Linked DNA regions of Bombyx mori. The protein of the gene in region 1 purifies or fractionates together with the protein of each later gene. This does not show direct contact. Links are inferred from orthologs where the notes say so. Each region holds a gene or a part of one and is shown in the gene's direction. Other genes may lie near its edges.

Evidence for each region.
Region 2: the proteins of protein CASC3 (region 1) and regulator of nonsense transcripts 2 fractionate together in Homo sapiens (co-fractionation; 3 studies listed by BioGRID and IntAct). This does not show direct contact. The link is inferred for Bombyx mori from reciprocal best matches to the Homo sapiens genes CASC3 and UPF2.

Annotation. Positions count from the first base shown.
Region 1 is NC_085126.1:2,195,126-2,203,288, reverse strand, and holds the start of protein CASC3, read left to right. Parts: upstream 1-3,695; 5' UTR 3,696-4,019; coding exon 4,020-4,109; intron 4,110-4,360; coding exon 4,361-4,435; intron 4,436-6,493; coding exon 6,494-6,594; intron 6,595-8,163. UniProt on the Homo sapiens protein: Required for pre-mRNA splicing as component of the spliceosome. Core component of the splicing-dependent multiprotein exon junction complex (EJC) deposited at splice junctions on mRNAs.
Region 2 is NC_085110.1:14,011,984-14,019,581, reverse strand, and holds the end of regulator of nonsense transcripts 2, read left to right. Parts: intron 1-4,099; coding exon 4,100-4,394; intron 4,395-4,682; coding exon 4,683-4,898; intron 4,899-5,085; coding exon 5,086-6,126; intron 6,127-6,213; coding exon 6,214-6,363; intron 6,364-6,673; coding exon 6,674-6,819; intron 6,820-7,239; coding exon 7,240-7,414; 3' UTR 7,415-7,587; downstream 7,588-7,598. UniProt on the Homo sapiens protein: Involved in nonsense-mediated decay (NMD) of mRNAs containing premature stop codons by associating with the nuclear exon junction complex (EJC).

The DNA of each region.
Region 1 (8,163 bases):
TGTGCTAAAAAAAACATAAATTATGTTTTTTTGATAGATCTACAAACAAGCAAGTGAGTAATGCTGTTTCCATAAATAAAAAGGCAAAAAAAAATTAAAGAAAGATATTATGCACAAGTTCAAATGCATATGTATTGTGCTAAAAGTAAAACTTGTTACTTTTGTGTAGCATCCAGCAACTTTGAAAAAACTAATCAGGTCACTATAATTAGTAGGTATTGATTTTGATTCCGAGTAAGTTGCACAGTTGTTAGATAATGTAGTTTCTTTTTGGAAGAATAACAATTTTCTAATCTTACACAAAAATGTAATGTTAAATATTTAAAAAAAACTTTATACCTATTTTCCTTTTAGGGAGTACAAAATATTGATGTGTACAAAGTGAATGTGATTTAATAAAAATAATATTTCAATTTAAATTATGTTTTATTAAAAATTATTCTTAACATACAGGTACAAAGGTTACATAACATTAATATTTATTCCTTTTCATATATATAAGCCCATATTTAGCACATTTGTGGAAAACAGAATCAAAATAATAATGAGTTGCTAGCCATAGAAGACCAGCATAAGTCTTATTAAAATCTGTTCAGTAGTTTTTGAATGAAGAGTGAAAATACTTACAAAACTTCCTATTTATAAGTAAGGATTACTTATTTAATTAAAGAGTTTTGTAGGTGGCAAACTATCTAAAAACTTTCTATTTTCCACCAAGTTGACATCAATTATCCTTCCTGCATATATATTTATTGTATTGTTTTTTTTATAGTCTAACAAGGGATGATATTACATTTGCAATTTCTGGGAGTTTGTTGAAAAATATATTGCTTGCTTGACTTACAGATAAATCGAAATCATCAGCCAATTGAGAGAATGTTCTATTTAATGTTATTCTCATCAGACATAATATAATATTTTGTTCAGAAACATTTGTATGTTTCTCAATCAAGCCTATTATGAAACATAATTCTTGTGGAATACCAATATATAAACATTGTTTATTTTTCACTTTAGATAAAGTTGTTAACACATTCATTTTTTCAATTTTTTAGTCTTCTTGAGAGCTATAGTCTGAAGTGCACAAGTCTTTGATGGAGTGGAGATATAGAGAGATAACTCATAGTCAACAGTTGATCCTTCTGTTGCTGGTGCATTTGACTCATCACTGTCAAATTTGTCCTCAGGAACAACAGTTTTTTTTTTGCTGGTTCTGATTGTTTACTTATACTTGCTTCAGATATATTAAGGGGTGATGTGGCAATACACACTTGCCTTGCCTTTGTGTTCCTGTGCTGGAGCTACTTGGATAGCTTTGTCATTACTACACCTATTTTCAAGTGGCTGGACATCTGGAAATATGAAATAATGTTAGCAATTTCCAACAAACGTATAGTTTGTAAATATATAGGATTATATGTGTACTGTCGTAGTAGTAGTAGTAGTATTTAACTTCCTAGTCATCATCATCAGACCATATAATATATCCCCTTGCTAGACACTGGCCTTCACTACCATTGAGAGGGTTTTTAGGCCTTAGTCCACCACGCTGGCCTAGTGCTGGTTGGTGGATTACACACCTAAGAAAATCCTAAGAACATTTAGGTGTGCAGGTTTCATCACAATGTTTTCCTTCACTGTTAAAGTAAGTAAGTGATATTACACTGTGATAAATTTTCATTTTCACAAACTTCCTAGTACCTTATGTAATAGGAACTGAGATCCACTTGCCCATTTTGGCTACTTCCACTAACTAACTAACTATTCTCATTTTTTCTGATATTGTTATTTGATTAGGAGATCTGTGAGTGTAACTAATTATTGACAGTTACACCTACCTTGACTACAAGATGGCAAAGGTATAATAATACGACACATCTCATTTTTAGTCGTCTCTTCAATTTCCTTGATAATAGTGAGTCTTTGCCGTTTCACAAATGCAGGCCGAGGTTCACTATGAGTGAATTTTCGTTTTCTATCTGCCCGACAATCGAATTTGGATGGTAAACAGTTTGGTTTCATTCGAATTCATTTGATGGAGCTCATTATCTTGTATTGCATATAATTCTCCATGTAGTTTTCCAGCTAAAACATGAAATAATTTTCCAACAATTTCAATACATAACCTATAAAAAAAATATTAAAATGTTATTTTACTAATGTTAGGAATATAATTTCGACTGTGTCAAAATGTTATTATAATGTATACCTACATTATCTCTTGAAAGATAAATAATGAACATATTTACTTATTTGTTTATATTACCTATGTGAACTCTTAAACCTATCTTTTTTATACCTTCATAGCGATAGGTATATAGGAGGATGGAAAAAATGTATTTGGTCTAACTTTACGCGAATGCACATTATTTTATTTATTTTGTTTTTAATTTTTTTAATTAAACTGTATACCAATTAATTGATCCTTCAGGATTTATAATGGTTTTTTTTTTCACGATTAAAACCGCGTAGAAAGTTTAGGCATTATAGTTGACGCATGCGCCATAGATTATACACTTATGGCATGCGCAGTACACATATTTTGTATACATTTATTCAACTAATACAATTAATTAAACAAAAAATGAGTAATTTCGAAAGAGAACAAACGTATTTTATATAAGAACAATCGAAAATGAATATTTACGAGTAATTAAGGACGAAAAAATATTAAAAATTGCAATCGAGGGGCTAACTTTTAGAAATATTTTTAATATTTTTTTAAAAATAAATAAATGGGGAACAAACAGTTATTAACAGTGAACAATCAAGAACAAATGATGAACAAACGAATTAATAGAAAATAAGTAGAAAACAGGAAAAAAAATTTTTTTTGAGGGGCTAACTTCATTCACCCTAAAAACTTATAGGTAAAAAATGTAAACGTCTAGATGAGTTTTTTTATGGGATTTTATGACCTGGTAACTAAGACTTTTAGGTGAAGTCTTATTTTAATTTGAATTAAAACTTTTATATATATGTGAAAAATGATATTAGGAAATTAAATGAGATGAGATGATATACTGAGACTTTTTCAGTGGACTTTTTGGAGGATCCCGAGAAGTTACGTCAGTGGCTTTGTTTCATTTTCTCACATTTGTGTACTTTCACAGATACTAAGCAGTTAATAAACCACCGTTATTACACATTTAAACCTGAAGAAACATTAAATAGACAAAATAAAACAAATCACACAACTTCACTATTCGCGTTCCCGCCAAAAGTCCCTTGTATTTAAATGAATTTTTATCGTCCATTTAATAAGCAAAGGGATCAAAACCTTCTTCAAGAAATGTATGTTTAAGTGGTACGATCTGATCTGAATTGAATGAAGCGAGATGAGATGAGACAGGAAGCACTGATCAACAAGATCTCGACAAGACACATTAAGACTTATTTTCATTTTCTAATACGTGCGCATTTTCATCGATGTTATACGTTAATAGGCCACCATTGTTATATGTAATTATTATGCACATGGTTTTAGCGTCCCAAAAAACACCAAACACCTTCTTGCGTTTCCATCCAAAAGTTGTACACTGTAGGCACAAGCTCATTCAAAATGGTATAATCTATGAGTTTATAAATTGCCACATTTAAAATTTGTAACAATTTTTCAGTCCACGTAAAAAATTAAAAAACCAAGACTTTTCTAAAAAAAAGCTTTTGAGAAGCCCCAAACTTTAACTGTTTTATTTTCTATCTCTCTTAAAGTTCATAGAAATTTGTTTGTTATTTGGTAGAAAAAACTAGAAAATTATGAATTTTCAGAATTTCCAGATTTAGAACCAAGGATAGTTAAGATTATTAAGATTACGTGAAATGGAATTATTTTTTATGGCTGCTAGATCCCCGTGCTTGTTTTGGCGTTCTTTTATTGCATTTTAATTAATAACTAGTGGGGGTTTTACCGTCGCTACTGTAAACTACTGAGCGCGTTTGCCGCTTCGTTTTAATTAATTGTATTATTTTAAGCCGCCAATCTGGAAGTTATACAAGTGACACGGGAGGACGCCGAAATGACGTCCGTGGTACGAAGACGGGAGCACGACGATTCGGGAGAATATTCAGATGCTTCTCAGGACATCGAACACAATAACTCGTTGAACGTGAGTTGTTAACTAGTGGTCTCGACGGTCGCACTTTCGTTTTGGCGCATAAAGTATTACAGTGTTACTTTCTCCGGCGATTTCGCGTGTCGGAATTCCCATTTCGTTTTGTTGTATTGAGGTCATGATAGTTCTGCAATCGCTCTAACGTTGTCTTTGTACATGGACTGCAATTCAAGAGCGCCACGTAATTCGTAGGCATTGTTTTGTTTTGCGATATGCATTCCCTGAAGGTTGCCGATTGTTTACAGGAAGGGCCGCCCGAGTCCGATTATGACTCGCAGGGTAGCGATTCTGACCACTCTGAACGGGATCCAGAGGCACAGGTAACCATTCATTATATTTAGATAACAATTTCACGATTTTCCAGACAAGTTAATTAAGAAGACAGCTTTTTTATCATATAAAAAATTAGAGAAACAAAATTGGAGTCTCTTTTGTTATAGGTGCATTATTTTACGTACTTTTTCTTTGTTACTTGTGAACAAAATACCAAAAAGTACCATGCATATAAATACAATGGACACCTACCAATACAACTTAAACATTGTTTTGTGCATGCATTTTTAAGAAAACTTTTATCAAACTGGTAAAAATTATAAAGTAAGTTTTTTAAGTACTGAAGATTTGTAAAGTACTTAAGTTTATTCACTATAGAAAGTTAAATGAGTAAATAAAAAAAACCATTTAGTTGCTAAATTAAAAATCCTATGATCCAAAAGTCTAAATAGTGGATCAAAAGATGACTTCAAATAGCAGTTTTCCTAACTAACTACTTTGTTTAATAACTTTCAAAATCAATGAATAATATCCTGTTAAAAAATAAACTGCTCAAAATGAAAATTGTAATACTACTATATGCAGGAATTGTGTACTGGCGATGGTAAAATATACAATAATTGCTTAGCTTTAAAATTAGACTTGCAGAGAACTATTTTGCTAATAATCTGCAAGGATTAAATAAATTAAAACTTGAAAATAATTTCTTATTAAACCATCGGACTTTGGAATTGATTCACGAAAACAGGTTTTGAAAAACAGTAATTGGAAGTGTCTTGCCTCATGTTCATCACTTATTTTAACCTTTTTGGATTGCATCTCATTGAAGTTATTTTCTAAATATTATATTTAATAAATGTTATGGCTATTACGTCATAGGGACAACATTCTAAAATTATAGCAAACTGTTTACGGCACATGATTATGTTTTTAAATTTTATATTTAAATCCAGTTCTTATTTAAAAATATTAAACAGCTTTCACTTGTTCATTGAATTCATACCTCAAAGTTTACATATTTAAAATAACATTTCCATCTATCTCACTCATGTTAAAGTAAATTACTGTAAGTAAGTAAAAGACGAAATAAAATAGAATGAAAACTTAGATTTAAATACAAAAAATATATATTCAGACAGCCTTATTAAATATATAAAGGATCATAAACAAATTACTACAAATTTCGGAGGAGACTATTAACACTATAGAGCTTGAATGTCAATGTTAATTTCAATGATAAAAATTAATTCATTCAAAATAATGCAAATTTATTACAGCAGATTCAGAAAACAGGTTTTTGTTAAACTGAATCAAGGTTAAAGAAATTTGAATTTGTTAATAACATGAAAATAACGTTTGTGATGGGGTTCTTTTAAATGCTTTTTAATCTATAGATATTCAAACATCCCATCTGCTGTTACCAGAGCTCATTGAATGTGAAATGTCATCCTGGCATATTTTATACCTTTCAAATTGGAACATATTAAATGCTTTAGAAATAAGCGGAATGTTGGTACACAAATGCTGTTAGCAGTAAATTTTCTTAATCTATTAGTTTTAAAGATTTTAATAAAACCTTTAATTTTTCCTAAATTCAATTTAGTATTCTACATTACTCAGTCTCATTAACGCTGTTTATGTATTTGAGGATTGAGGTTGAACATTTAAATTGTCATAATTTTTCAAACCTTTGTACCCAAGGTACTATGTATCTGTAAACAATGCTATATGACCCTTTGTGACTTATCCCCAGTTATTATTATAGATAAAGAAAATGATTATATGTAATGTTTACTTTTTAATTCTAAAGTACTTTAATGACTGTGTTGTAGTTATTTTTATCTCTCAAGGCATATTGAAGTTTAATATAATTGATATTCATCCATTAAATGGAAGAGATTAACAGTAGCTCACAATCCCAAGTTGTCTATTTGACACAATTTCCTTTTTACCCAAAAAAAAATTATAAACATAGTATAATTTAATATCTCTTCTACATTCATATTTTGTATATTCAATTTTGTTAATGTTTATATAGAAAAAATTAAGGTATTAGGTTATTAAAAAGTGTAGAGCAGAATTATTATAAGGCTTAAATTTTACAGGAAGGTGAACGCAGAGTTGATGATGATGAAGATAGGAGCAATCCTCAGTATATCCCCAAGAGAGGAACATTCTACGAGCATGATGACCGAACCGCAGCAAGGTTAGAATAAGATTGTATGCCGATAAATTCCATATGTCGACACAAAGATATGCAATAGTTTGTTACACTAAATCCATAGGGGCTGCCGACGGGCAGGTTTATATTGCAAGTGCTTTTCTATTGTCATTCTGATCTTTGTATCAATGCCATTCAATGCCTTTGAGCTGTTATGAGCTAGGTATGAAATTAATTTATAAGTAATGTAACTCATATTGTTAGTAAAAGTATTTGCCAGGTTTACATTTATAAGTCAGGTTGATACAATTATGTTATATAAAATGAACCGTATAGGTAGACATTACATCAGAATGTAATACACTCGTGTGTATTGTAAATAACGCGTGCTCATATGCTATTGACCGATCTGTTCGTTGGACCGTCAAAATGACTTGGAAAGTTGTATTGTTATAACTACACAATGCCATTTTTGTTTTAGATAAGAATTTTATTATATATCTCACGAGTCAGAGAACTTATTTTGTGTGGGTTAATTTGTATCTCATGCTCAACCAAATGTAAATAAAGCCATATTTATTAATAGGATGTAGGGTGTGCATGGAAAGGTTTTAAATAATGGCAGAAATCTTTTATAAAATTGCTATGTCTGTCTGTTTTTGGATACATCGTAGATTTCATGTTTTCATTTCTACTTCTTCTTTCTTTCTGGTCGTTCCCTCAATGCTGAGGATCGTGACTGTATGTCAATCTTCTCCACTCGGTCCGGTTCTGCGCCATATGTACCGCTCCCTGTATCTGGCCTCCAGTCACCTCCTTGAGTTGGTCCACCCATCTAGCTGGTGCTCTTCCTCTAGCGCGCTTCCCCGCCATTTGTCCGAAAATTATGAGTTCCTCCAGGCTGTGCAATGGGGATCGCATTATGCGCCCAAAGAAACTCCGGATCCTTTCCTGGCACATAGTCAGCAGGCGCTTGGTGACCTTCAGCTCTTCGAGGATGGAGACATTGGTTCTCATAGCTGTCCAAGGAATGCGTAGCAGCTTTCTCCAGAAATACATTTCAAAGGCCTCGATCTTTTTGCGTTCCTTTTTCCTGAGACATCAAGTCTCCACCCCGTACAGGAAGATAGAGAAGACCAACGTACAAGCCAAACGCATCTTAGTTACTCGGCGAATATTATTAATTTCTACTAACTGGCAGTTAAGAAATCACATTTTAATCTATTTCACTTGACATCTATATAGGATTTTCTATATTGAAGAGATAAGGAGTAATGAAAGTTGTTGCTAGTACTGTGTATTTCAGTCAGCAAACAATGTGTGAGATGGTGTGTTCTGCTCTAACGTCTTAGCGAGATTCGTTTGATGTTGGGACGCGCACGCATTAAGTCTTAGCATTTTTTTGACTGCCCCAATATCGTATCCCTTTATGATATCCTTTTAAAAGGCATTTAATTCTTTATTAGCTTTAGTCCATTCTAAACATTCTGTGTAAATTTTTATCTGCTAATACTATTTATCTTTAAAGTAGTTAGTCTAACATAATTTGTTTGTGCTGCTCTTAAAATCACAGATTTGTGTATGGAAAACTCATATTTTTTTTTTGTATTTATT
Region 2 (7,598 bases), on another chromosome or scaffold:
ATTAAAGAAAGGCTTGTATAAAAAAAATGCTTACATTAGAAATCATTGATTGTAAGACTCACTCCTCTCTCCTAATATTAGATCCATTTACTTTTAACAAACTAAAAGCATAGTGAAAATAAGAAATGTCTATGTCAAACATGGTAACATAGGTGATGAAAAGGAACAATAGAATATTTAAATACTTACATTTCGCTCCAATCTTGAAATCAATTAGCACTAGAAGCCACACCGGAGGGCAAGAAAATTGCCTCATGTCTCCGCACCGTGTGCGGCCTATCGGGGGTCACCGTAGAGGCCCCCTACAAACGCGGCACTCCCGGGCAGTGCCACCGTTGCCAGTTATATGGCCACTCCGCGCGTAACTGCAACGCGCGACCGCGTTGCGTGAAATGTTTAGACGATCACGCGACCACCGATTGCTCGCGCGTGAAGGAGACAGCGACGGAGCCGCCGAGCTGTGTACTCTGCCGCAAGCAGGGACACACGGCCAACTACCGTGGATGCCCCAAGGCTCCACGGAAGCGCCCGGCAAACGCGCCCCCTAAAACCGCTGGCCCAAAGACTTCGGCGCCCCGCGCGCCGAAACCGGCTTTCGTACCGGCTCCGGTGCCCACCGTCTCCGCGTGGGCGAAACCGTTGCCGTTCACGAAGGCAGGAACGACACCGGCACCCCAACCGCGGTACGCGCCGCAACCTCTACTCGCGCCGCGCCCCGCCCCCGCGCCCGCGCCCGGTCCCGCGCCTCGCCCCGGCCCCGCGCACTCAAACGATTTTACAATTATTCGCGACTACATCGCCGCGATAAACATCGACCGCATGCGTGCGTTCGCCGACGCCATGCGCAGAGCGGTCACGGCCGAAGACCGCCTAAACGCGACGTTCGAGTACATCGACGTCATCGAGTCCGTCCAGCGCACGCTGGTTTGATTACCGGTAATCAATGGCGTGCAACAGTAGGGAAAAACCGCGTTCCATAAAGTTAGCATTTTATAATGCTAACGGACTCGCGCGTCAGCGCGATCAAGTATATGAGTTTCTCCGCGATAATCTCATCGACATCCTTCTGGTGCAGGAGACCTTCCTAAAGCCCTCGCGTCGCGACCCCAAAGTCGCGAATTACGTCATGGTTAGGAATGACAGACTCTCCGCCCGCAAGGGCGGGACTGTCATTTACTATAGGAGGGCCCTGCACTGCGTCCCTCTCGATACTCCCTCGCTCTTACATATCGAGGCGTCAGTGTGCCGCATCGCGCTGACGGGACACCAGCCGATCGTCATCGCATCCGTTTATCTCCCCCCTGACAAACCCCTCCTGAGCAGTGACCTCGAGACACTGTTCGGTATGGGGGACGCGGTCATCCTGGCAGGCGATTTAAATTGCCACCACACTAGGTGGAACTGCCATCGCACGAATGTGAACGGTAGGCGTCTCGACGCGTTCATAGACAACCTCACATTCGAAGTATTCAACCCCCCGACCCCCACGTGCTATCCGTACAACGCCGCGCGTCGTCCGAGCACAATAGATCTGGCACTACTGAGGAACGTAACTCTGCGCTTACGCTCCATCGAGGCAATGTCAGAACTCGACTCAGACCACCGACCTGTCGTCATGCAGCTCGGTCGCCCACTCAACCGCGAACCAGATACGAGGACCATGGTGGATTGGAAGAAGCTGGGCACGTGCTTAGCTGACACCGCTCCACCAATCCTCCCTTGCGGCCCGGATTCAACTCCATCCCCCGAGGATACCGTCGAATCCATAAACATCTTCACTGATCACGTCTCGACGGCGATCATAAGATCCTCGAAACAAGTCGATGTGGAGGACTGCTTCCACCGCATCAGACTTTCCCCCGAACTTAGGGACCTCGTTAGAATTAGAAACGCGGCAATCCGGGCCTACGATCGATATCCCACGGATTCAAACCGGACTCGGATGCGTCGCTTACAGCGGGAGGTCAAATCCCGCTTAAGCGACGCCCGAAACGAAAACTGGGATAGTTATTTAGAAGAACTCGCGCACACTCACCAAGCATACTGGCAACTAGCTAGGACCCTCAAGTCCGAAACTATAGCCACTATGCCGCCTCTCGTACGCCCCTCAGGCCAACCACCGGCTTACGATGACGATGACAAGGCAGAGTTGCTGGCCGATGCACTGCAAGAGCAGTGCACCACCAGCACTCAACACGCGGACCCCGAACACACCGAGTTCGTCGACAGGGAGGTCGAGCGCAGAGCTTCCCTGCCGCCCTCGGACGCGTTACCCCCCATTACCACTTCCGAGGTCAAGGAGGCGATCGATAGCCTACAACCACGGAAAGCTCCCGGCTCCGACGGCATCCGCAACCGCGCGCTTAAATTGTTACCAGCCCAACTGATAACGATGTTGGCCACCATATTAAATGCTGCTATGACGAACTGCATCTTTCCCGCGGCGTGGAAAGAAGCGGACGTTATCGGCATACACAAGCCGGGCAAACCGAAGAACGAAACCGCGAGTTACCGCCCCATCAGTCTCCTCCCGGCGATAGGCAAACTATACGAACGGCTCCTTCGTAAACGCCTCTGGGACTTCGTATCCGCGAACAAAATTCTGATAGACGAGCAGTTTGGATTCCGCGCCAGACACTCGTGCGTCCATCAAGTGCACCGCCTCACGGAGCACATCTTACTAGGGCTGAACAGGCGGAAACCCATTCCGACAGGAGCCCTCTTCTTCGATATAGCGAAGGCGTTCGACAAAGTCTGGCACAACGGTTTGATATACAAACTGTATAACATGGGAGTGCCAGACAGACTCGTGCTCATCATACGAGACTACTTGTCGAACCGTTCGTTCCGATATCGAGTCGAGGGAACGCGTTCCCGGCCCCGTCACGTCACAGCCGGAGTCCCGCAAGGCTCCGCCCTCTCCCCGTTACTATTCAGTTTGTATATCAACGATATACCCCGGTCTCCGGAGACCCATCTGGCGCTCTTCGCCGATGACACCGCCATCTACTACTCGTGTAGGAAGAAGGCGTTGCTTCATCGACGACTTCAGACCGCAGCTACCACCATGGGACAGTGGTTCCGGAAGTGGCGCATCGACATTAACCCCACGAAAAGCACAGCGGTGCTCTTCAAAAGGGGTCGCCCTCCGAACACCACGCTGAGCATCCCTCTCCCGACTAGGCGCGTCAACACCCCCGCCCCCGCCGTTCGCCCAATCACGATGTACGACCAGCCCATACCGTGGGCCCCGAAGGTCAAATATTTAGGCGTCACCCTCGACAGTAGGATGACATTCCGCCCCCACATCAAGACGGTACGCGATCGTGCCGCCTTCATCCTAGGACGTCTCTACCCGATGATATGTAGGCGAAGTAAAATGTCCCTTAGAAATAAGGTGACACTCTACAAAACTTGCATACGCCCCGTCATGACCTATGCAAGTGTAGTGTTCGCTCACGCGGCCCGCATACACTTAAAATCCTTTCAAATTATTCAATCCCGTTTTTGCAGGATAGCCGTCGGAGCCCCGTGGTTCGTCAGGAACGTCGACCTCCATGACGACCTGGACTTAGAGTCCATCAGTAAGTATCTGCAGTCGGCGTCCATGCGCCACTTCGATAAAGCGGCACGACACGAGAACCCTCTCATCGTGGCCGCCGGTAACTACATTCCCGATCCTGCGGACAGAATGGAAAGCAGTCGACGTCGCCCAAAACACGTCATCTCGGATCCTCCTGATCCACTAACGGTGCTTTTAGGTAATTCAAGCACCGGTCACCGTTCTCGTCGAACCCGTCGCTTGCGACGAAGGGCTCGACGAGTAAATTAACTCTCAGACACAGCCCACTGAGTTTCTCGCCGGATCTTCTCAGTGGGTCGCGTTTCCGATCCGGTGGTAGATTCTGCGAAGCACGACTCTTGCTAGGGTTCGTGTTAGCAACATCGTCAGGTTTGAGCCCCGTGAGCTCACCTACTAAAGTTAGGGTTACGCTGAAATAGCCGCTAGGGCTATCAGCTGAGGTAGGAAAAAAAAAAAAAAAAGAAATCAATTCAATTGATATGTTTTTAATTTATTAAATTTTCAATTTTGTGACAGACATGGATTAGATACATTTTTGAATGAACTTCCCAACTGTATCAACCGAGAACTCATAGATAATGCAGCAGTTGATTTTATCCTGAATCTCAATACAAAGAATAATCGGAAGAAACTTTCAAGAGTTCTCTTCAGTGTTGCCAGAACAAGGCTAGATCTGTTGCCATTTTACTCAAGATTTGCTGCGATTTTATATCCAGTACTGCCAGAAGTATGTGTTGACCTGTGTCAAATGTTAAAACAAGACTTTAAGTATCATGTCAGGAAAAAGGATCAAATAAATATTGAATCGAAGGTAAGAAGAATATAATATAATGGTTTTATGTTGACTCTACATAAATATACTCCAAAAAAAGAAGACAGTAAAATATTAAATAAATCTATTATTAAAATTACTTGTACAGCTTAATCTTTCCTTATATTGTTATTACTCAATATTATATTTGACGTTTCTAATATTTTACAGTTTATGTGGTCACGCACGACTAACAGTCATAAAAATAGTTTTAATTATGTCTACAACTTGCTAAAACCGAAGAACTATTATTGTGTTTTTTAAATTTTTATATATAATTTATTTTAGATAAAAGTGGTGCGATTCATTGGGGAACTGGTTAAGTTTAATTTGTATTCGAAAATGGAGGCGCTGTACTGTTTGAAAGTGTTGCTGCATGATTTTAAGCATCACCATATTGAGATGGCTTGCAATCTGCTTGAAACGTGTGGTAGATATTTATACTGTAATCCAGATACACACCAAAGGACTATGATATATTTACAGCAAATGATGCGAAAAAAAGTATGAAAACATAATATGAATATATTTTGTTGAGTTGATATATTATAATTATTATAATTCAATAGATCCTAATTTAATAGTTTAAATAATAAATAAAATAACAGTTTAACAGAATATACGTTAATGGAATATATTGAATTATATTATTAGAAAATGCTCTACTTAAATAATAATTATTTGTGTTCAGACTGTTTCAGCTCTAGATTCGCGATATGTAACACAGATAGAAAACGCATTCTATTACGTTTGCCCTCCCGAAACTCCTGTTCAGCCTAAAGAAGAAGAGCCACCACTTCATCAATTTATCAGAAAAATACTTCATGAAGACTTGCAGAAAAGTAATGAGGAAAAAATTCTTAGACTAATGCGAAAACTGAATTGGGATGACCCAGAGGTATCCGCCATTGCCATACAACATCTCGCAGGAGGTTGGAGGGTAAGAGCAAGTGCCAGAAGGGCTCTGGCCAGACTGACAGCTGAACTGGCAATCTGGCAAGAAGTAGTAGCTCCAGCAGTCGTTGACACAATATTAGAAGAAATAAGGGTAACAATGGAAGACCCACATCCAAGATATAATCAAAGAAGGATAGCTACTGTTCGGTATCTCGGAGAACTCTATAATTATAAATTATTAGATTCTCGAGATGTTTTCACTGTTTTATATTCATTTATAACATTTGGTGTCACCAATGATCACAGCAGTGTATCTGTATTGGACCCATCTGATAATGTTTTTAGAATAAGACTAGTCTGCGCTCTGCTTGAGACTTGTGGTGCATACTTCAACAGTGGTTCGAGCAAAAAAAGATTAGACTATTTTTTGACCTTCTTCCAAAATTACTATTGGTTCAAGTTCTCTGATCCGATATGGACAAAAGACTATCAATTCCCTATTTACGTTAAATATATTTATCAAGAATGCCTGACGACTTTACGCCCTAAGTTGACTTTGTTTACGAGCTGGCAACAGTGTAAGGATGCAATAGATGAACTACGACAGACTTTATATCCGGAGCTAGGAGAGGAAGAGTACGATAATGAGGATCAAGGTGATGATAGTGTGAACGACGGCTTAGACACAATCATGGAAACGGATGATGAAACGGACAATCCGCAATTGCCTGATGAAAGCTCTGATGAAGAACCGATTACCGAAAATAATGTTAATGACGAAAACGAAATGCAAGATGAAATGGCAATTGAGCCACGAAGACCTGCTACTAAACATGTAAGTGGAAATCTTTGATATAGTTTTAAATTATTTTACAAAATCAATGTACCTACTACATATACTCGTATGCATTTCGGTTTTTAGGTAGAAGACGTTGAGTTCGAATCGGCATTCGAGAAAATGGTAACAGAAAATATTGCAGAAAGACAACGGGAGAATAGACCGCAACAACGCGACATTGCTGTCCCGATGACCTGCAGACAGACTACGAAGAAGACGTATGAACAGCTCTTGGTATGAGTTAATATACAATTTGAGTTACTGACGCTTAAGTAAAACTCTGTGAAACACGTCTCAATTTACTTTATGTCTAGTGTAGGAAATTCAAGGTAAAAGGAAACTGTCTCCAGAATTACATCTTTTAGCTGCACTATGTTTATACTGTGTGTTCTACAGAAGATTACATGTCATAACTTTAAAATGTTTTTGATAGCTTATTTTTTGTAACTGGAAATAAAATAAAAATAAAATAGCTTTTTATCTATCCTAAATTATATTTACAATTAATACTTGTAATAGTATTCATTGAATATTTTATTTTCAGCAAGGAAAAGAGGGCGTGGAATTCGTTCTTATGGTTCGTAAAGGAACGAAACCACAATATAAATCGTTCAGTGCTCCACCGGAATTGGCCAGCAATCTACAACAACAAGCTTTAGCTGATAAACAAGAAATGGAACGAGTTAAACGGTATTGAAATTCAGATAATAAGTTATTAAAAAAATAATTTACGCAAGCAACAGAGACGTCGGATAGCCTAAAGATCAATACGGTCGTGGAGCCGACGTATGCTGCTACGGTGTCCCGTGGGAGTAGGAAGATGGGGTTTCAGTTAGTTCAACTCCGATATGACTCGCCTACTGCCCCCAATGAGTAGGCGGAAGTCTGGTGATTCCTTGTGGTCTTAAAAAAAGAAACAGACTTGATTTTAAACATTTAAATTTTTAATTTTAAACAATAAAACGTAAGAATTCGTTATACGGCCTTAAACAATGTTTGTCTTGAAAGAAATTTCTAAACCTTTCAGAAAATAGCAATTAAAAATAACGTCAATGTCATAGATGTAGTGTGTATTTTGTATTTAATTTACTGATTAATTGTATTTTTTAGACTTACTCTAAATATATCGGAAAGACAAGAAGAAGAAGAATATAGCGCAGAGAGCGGTGGTGGATCGGGAGGTATCGGTAATCCTAACAGAGGTCAGCATGTTCGTCAGAAATACCAACATCCCAAAGGGGCACCGGACGCCGATCTCATATTCGGTCCTAAGAAATTTAAATAAATAAAAAACTAATGTATGTAATGTATTGTAATAATATATGTAATAAAAAAAGGGTTTTTTTTCTTTTTCAAATGGAACAAATTTTTTACGCAAAACTGTAAATTTTTTAAGTGTAAATTTAAATTAACGCACTGAAAAATATAAGTCTGGCGGAAACTCTAGGAGCGAACTATTTTGAATAGTT